Linked DNA regions of Caenorhabditis elegans. The protein of the gene in region 1 binds, or shares a complex with, the protein of each later gene. Each region holds a gene or a part of one and is shown in the gene's direction. Other genes may lie near its edges. The genes, in order: spcs-1 and spcs-2.

Evidence for each region.
Region 2: spcs-1 (region 1) and spcs-2 share a complex: the UniProt entries of both Caenorhabditis elegans proteins name them as parts of the signal peptidase complex.

Annotation. Positions count from the first base shown.
Region 1 is NC_003279.8:10,681,665-10,684,799, reverse strand, and holds spcs-1 (Signal peptidase complex subunit 1), read left to right. Parts: upstream 1-1,751; 5' UTR 1,752-1,759; coding exon 1,760-1,855; intron 1,856-1,911; coding exon 1,912-2,067; intron 2,068-2,112; coding exon 2,113-2,178; 3' UTR 2,179-2,328; downstream 2,329-3,135. Other genes in the region: sdha-2 (Succinate dehydrogenase [ubiquinone] flavoprotein subunit, mitochondrial), read left to right, coding at 1-427, 472-739, 783-972, 1,024-1,422; lonp-1 (Lon protease homolog, mitochondrial), read left to right, coding at 2,428-2,649, 2,702-2,803, 2,853-2,944. UniProt on the Caenorhabditis elegans protein: Component of the signal peptidase complex (SPC) which catalyzes the cleavage of N-terminal signal sequences from nascent proteins as they are translocated into the lumen of the endoplasmic reticulum. Dispensable for SPC enzymatic activity.
Region 2 is NC_003281.10:12,873,031-12,876,283, forward strand, and holds spcs-2 (Signal peptidase complex subunit 2), read left to right. Parts: upstream 1-2,000; coding exon 2,001-2,081; intron 2,082-2,135; coding exon 2,136-2,597; 3' UTR 2,598-2,753; downstream 2,754-3,253. Other genes in the region: mrg-1 (Mortality factor related protein 1), read right to left, coding at 1-1, 922-1,070, 1,130-1,624; cec-7 (Chromo domain-containing protein), read right to left, coding at 2,837-3,142, 3,194-3,253. UniProt on the Caenorhabditis elegans protein: Component of the signal peptidase complex (SPC) which catalyzes the cleavage of N-terminal signal sequences from nascent proteins as they are translocated into the lumen of the endoplasmic reticulum.

The DNA of each region.
Region 1 (3,135 bases):
GAAACTGGACAGATTCATCGTTTCCGCGCAAAGAACACTGTCCTCGCCACCGGAGGCTATGGAAGAGCTTACTTCTCGTGTACATCTGCTCACACTTGTACTGGTGATGGAACCGCTCTTACCGCTCGTGCAGGTATTCGTAATTCTGATATGGAGTTTGTTCAATTCCATCCAACTGGAATCTACGGAGTTGGATGTTTGATCACCGAAGGATCACGAGGAGAGGGTGGATATTTGGTCAATTCGCAAGGAGAACGATTTATGGAAAGATATGCACCGAATGCCAAGGATTTAGCGTCAAGAGATGTTGTTTCAAGAGCCATGACTATGGAAATTAATGAAGGAAGAGGAGTCGGACCAAACAAAGATCATATTTACCTTCAATTGCATCATCTTCCAGCTGAACAGCTTCAACAACGATTGCCAGGTACGTGATATTAGTGTTTTCAATTGTTAATAATTTTCTTTCAGGAATCTCGGAAACCGCTCAAATCTTTGCTGGTGTGGATGTAACCAAAGAGCCGATTCCAGTCATTCCAACTGTTCACTACAACATGGGAGGAGTTCCTACGAATTACAAGGGACAAGTTCTCGATTTCACACCTGAAGGAGGAGATAAAGTGATTCCAGGACTCTATGCCGCTGGTGAATGTGCAGCACATTCAGTTCATGGAGCAAATCGTCTCGGAGCAAATTCCCTTCTAGATTTGGTTATCTTTGGAAGATCTTGCGCTCTCACGTTAGTTTCATTTATCTGAACAGGTTTAAACTAAAGATTTCAGTATCCTTAATGAGAACAAACCAGGAGATTCAATCCCGGAGCTTCCGGTAAATTGTGAAGAGAAATCGTGTGACAATTTGAACGGACTTTTGCACTCAAAAGGAGATATTTCATCTATCGAATTAAGACAAAAGATGCAAATGACAATGCAGAAACATGCTGCTGTTTTCAGACGGGGCGATCTTTTGAAGGTAAGTAAATACAGATTTATTCTATTTTCAAAAAATATTGGATATTTTCAGGAAGGAGTCGATAAAATGTCCTCCATCTACAAAGAGCAACAAAATTTGAAGGCGTGTGCCGACTCTGGAAAAGTATGGAATTCGGAGCTTGTCGAAACTCTCGAGCTTCAGAATTTGCTTATCAACGCCAATCAAACCATCGTCGCCGCCGAAAATCGCACTGAATCTCGTGGAGCCCACGCTCGTGATGATTTCCAAGAAAGAATTGACGAATATGACTACAGCAATCCACTTGAGGGACAGCAGAAAAAACCGTTTGATCAGCACTGGCGCAAGCATTCCATCATCGGTATCGATACGAAAACTGGAGCTGTTGATTTGACATACCGCCCAGTTATCGACAAAACTCTCGATAAATCTGAAACCGACTGGGTTCCACCAAAGGTCCGATCGTATTAATTCGTTGTTTTGTTCTTCTTTGTTCACATAATTGTGTTCGAGCTGTATGTTTTTTTCTTTTGTGTGAAATTTATTTGTTTCCTGATTAGAATAAAGTTTATTGAATTTAATAATATATCAATTTAAGCTTATTTAAGATTTATTTCTGGTTTTCAATCCACAAATATTTGCAAATGTTCTTCAAAATATGAAATGTGCAAGTGCGCTCCATGGAAAATCTCTATTTTACGTCATTGTATGAAGGAGTGTTGGAACAAAATTATTCCGAATTCGTTTTGCTTTAATCTTTTTGTATTTTTATAACTGAATTTGATTTTTAATTATTACATAATTAACCATGGACGGAATGATTGCAATGCTCCCTGCTCCACTGCAGAAACTATCGTCGCATATTGATTTTCAAGGACAGAAAGTCGCCGAGAGAACTTACCAGGTAACAAACCACAATTGATTGACTGAAATTACATAAAATAAAGCAATAAAATTTAGGTAATCCTCACTATTGCTGGAATTATTGGCTTCCTCGTTGGATTCTGGACTCAACAGCTTTCATATGCCATGTTCACAGTGCTGGGAGCATCTGCGTTCACAGCTCTCATCATTCTTCCACCATGGCCATTCCTCTTCAGAAAGAACCCGATTGTGGTGAGAAAAAGTTACAGAAATCGTATAAAATGTTTTAATTTTCAGTGGCACACACCTGCGGAACCACAAGAATCTGGAGACAAGAAAAAGGAGACAAAGAAGACGAAATAAATCGGCAATGATGCAAAAACTAAAGAAAAACGTTTTACTCGGGATCTGGTCAAATATTTATTTTAAATTAAATTATTTATGAGCTCTTCTTCATTTTTCTGTGTGATATAAGAATCATCTTCTGAACCATAATAAATTCATTTTCAATCTACAACGATTTTAATATTTTATTGACGTTTTAATGCGACACATTTTACTTTTTTATTCTGAAGTCTTGAATCCTCCTATCCTACTCCCCGTTCAACAGAAATGTACCGCGCTGGAGCGGTTTTACTCCGCGGGGCAACTCGCACGCGGCTTCTTGCCGCTGCTTCAGCACATCAAAGCTTTGCCACATTTTCTCAAAGAAATCAATCGATTTTAATGATGAAATCTATGGAATTAGCAGGAAATTCAGGAGAAAGGAGGTTTTATTCCACTCATGACGATCCAATCGCTGTGGATGACTCATTGGAACTGTACAAAGATTTGGTAAGTTTTTTAGAATTTCAGTCATTAAAAGACGATTTTAATTGATTTTCAGGGAGGAATGTCACCGATTCAAGTGCCAGCCGATATGCCAAATGTCCCAATGTTAGCTATCAATCGATATCCACTATTTCCAGGATTTATCAAGAAAGTTGATGTGAGATTAGATAACGTATTTGGCGGAAAACTGAAAATTAAAATTTCAGATCGTGAAAGATGACAATTTAAAAGCACTGATCAGGCGACAGCTTTCACTGAAACAGCCGTATGCTGGAGTTTTTGTGAAGAGAGACGATGAGTATGTAGTTTTTGAATGGATCTCTTCTTGACTTAAAAATGGAACAATCGCCGAAAAACTAGTCATGTGTTGATATACGGAGCTCGTGTACTCCCCGAGGAAATGCTTTTACAGTTTTTGCCTGATATTTTTGATTTGGAACCATTTTTGTTATTGGAATCATCAAATAACAGAAAAAAATCAATCTTCTA
Region 2 (3,253 bases), on another chromosome or scaffold:
ACTAAACAATTCATCCTTACATCGTAACTGTTTCAAGTGGGATTGGGGCGACTATTCTACGAAGCGGAGGGCATTATGTGTACTCACTGCTACTTTTATCGAACGAGGGACGAGGAAAAGCGGTTTCTAGGCCATGGCCGAGGGGCCGACAAGACTTAGCGGCAATTTATCTTGCTTTGTTTTCCGCGTGTTTTCTTTTGTTTTTCAAAAAAATTTTCCGTTTTTTCTTATTAAAACTAAATAAAAGATAAATAAATATTTTTGTAGATGCCAAAACAATTTCCAGGTGAAAAAATTGTGTATTCAGTCGGCAAGAAGCGGTGAAAGTGGTCAATGTTATATGATGGATTACGGTAATACTAAACCTAATCGTTTTTCTGAAACATGGCATTTATTCTGCTTAGAGACTGAAACTATTCGATTTTCATAACGAGACCGCTCAAAAAGTTCTGAGATTTTTGCACAAAAAGTTGAATTTTGAAAATCTCAAATCTTTTTCAGCGGTCTCGTTATGATGAAAATCGGGTAGTTTCAGTCTCTAAGCAGAATATATACCATGTTTCAGAAAAGGTTTAGATTTAGTATTCCCGTAATCCATCATATAACATTGAGCACTTTCACCGCTACTTGCCGACTGAATACATAATTTTTTCACTTGGAAATTGTTTTGGCATCTGCAAAAATATTTATTTATCTTTTATTTAGTTTTAATAAGAAAAAAACGGGAAAAGTCTATGAAAAATTAAAGAAAACACGCGGAAAACAAAGCAAGATAAATGGCCGCTGAAACTTGTCGGCCCCTCGGCCATGGGCTAGAAACCGCTTTTCCTCGTCCCTCGTTCGAAAAAAGTTGCAGTGGTACTAAACATTGGGCTACGTGCAATTTGCATGCATCTGTTTAACATATTCGAATTAACCAACCCCAAAGTGACATTAAAATAGTCGACGAGTCCACGCGCGGTGCAAATCAGAGCCAAATTCGTGATTTTTATATCAGCTTCCTCGTATTCGATGAGCAGATCATCGACCGTTCTCATTTGCTCATTACTGACCGGAATGGTTTTGATGTACTGAAAATGTTGGATTTGAAAATCGGAAAAAATGATATTTTAATTTTTTTTATGCTTACGTCCTCGATGATTTGATCAACTGAATACTCGTGTGGCACGATGTTTATGAAATAACGGCAGACAAGATCGTAGTCATCGATCAGGATCTTTCTCAGTGGCTTCGGAAGCTCGACCTTCATATCGTCGGCGGTCATAACCGGCGCAATTGTCACCGATTTCGCCTTTTTTCCCTTCGACGTCCCCGGAGTGTCATCACGATCGTCTCGTGGTGCTTCAGCCGCAAGACTTTTCTTCTTCGGCTTCAATGCAGTTGTTGGCAGCTCTGCGTTGTGTTTCTCTGCATACTCCGAGGCTGTTCCCTTGAAAATGCGGTCTTTCTCCTCGCCGACTGGGATTTTCTCATCGTATCGATTGTTCCAGCCCTTGAAGTGAACGCAGTAGAGTTCCTTGCCATCGCTGTTGGTTTTGATATCAGTAATTTTGGCATCGTATGGTTTGCCTTTGTAGATGCACGCGACGTTCTCGCCGACTTCGAAGTTCTTCTTTGAAGACATCTGAAGGAATTAAAGAAATTAATCGATTAATTGGTGTTTTAAGCGAGTTTTAGCAGCAATTCTAGCCAATGATGTATATTTGAACGATTTTTAATCAAAAAATAGATTAAAAATATCGAAAATTCGATAAATTTATCGATAAAAACAAAAAAAAAGCTTTTCTCAAAGCTCAACGGCATTTTCGCAATTCAAACCCCCCTGCGGCGCGGTTTTCTAAGCAAATGCAATAGCGCCGCGCACGAAAAAGTACGCAAACACCACGACGCAATAATGCAGACTTCCAATTTTGAGACGTCACCACTAGCTTTTTGCTCATTTCTTTTGGGTTTTTTTGGATTTCTATTCAATTTTTATTCTCAAATATATTAATTTTCAGATGACGGACGAGCCGGTGAAAGTTGTGAACAAATGGGACGGTCCAACAGTGAAGAATGCCCTTGATGAAGTCGTCAAAAAGGTTTGCTCTCCGAAACTCCAAAATTAAAATTAAAATTAAAATCTTTCGTTTCAGATTCTGAACGACAAAGTCGGATGGACGGAATCGCATAATCTAATGAATCTGCGTCTTCTCATCTCATTCATCGGCGTCGCGTTCTCCGCGTTCGCCTGCGGCTACGACTACTACGAGCCGTTCCCAAAGTCGAAAATCGTGCTCGCCGTGTGCTCGGTTTCCTACTTCATATGCATGGGAATTCTTCAAATGTATCAGTGGTACGTCGAGAAGGACTGCATCTACGAGGCCACCGAAGTCGACGGAAAACAATCGAGAAAATGGGCGTGGAGCTCGGAGATCAAGGCTCACGACGATAAGTACACGCTGTCGGCCGAGTTTAAGAAGGAAGGACGCTCTGGACAGGGAAAAATCACGAAATCTATCGGAGCTTATATCGATAACGATGGAGAGATCATCGTGCCACTTGTGAAGAAGGAGGTCGACGACTTGTACAACCGCTTGATTCGTAGCGAACAATAATTTATTTAATTTATCTGGTTTTCTTGGCCTAATTTATTTCCCCTTTTCTTCGCTTTTCATGGGTGCCCCTTTCTCTCTCCATCTATCCTGTTTCTTGTCTGTCAAAAGCTAATATTTCCAGCATTTTATACAATATGAACTTGTCAATTTCGGTAAGAATTCATTGTACAAATAGCTTGAAAAGAACAATTAACAAACACAAAATTTTAGCAATTTAACAATTTATTAGCAGATCCCATCTACTTCTTCATCTCGAGCATCTCTGCGTACTTCGCGGCCGAGCCCTTGAACAATCGACCCTGCTCCTCGCCGACTGGAATTTTCTCATCGTAACGGCTGTTCCATCCTTTGAAGTGAACGCAGTAAAAATCCTTCCCATCAGTGTCGGTTATGATGTCAACGATGTACGCGTCATATGGCTTTCCGTTCTGTGTGCACGTGACTTGCTCACCGATTATGAATTGTTCTCTACGTTTTCCGACTAGCCGCGGAGCGTTCTCTTTCGTCGCTTGAGGCTCTGTGGATTTTTCATGGTTTCTAGCGGACTGAAAATGCAAAATTTATTATTTAAAGCTTCAATATTCTCTGAGCAGTACCTTGCGCATTGTGACAACTGGAGCTCGGTAACCATCTGCTATCCCTTTAAAAATACGGTC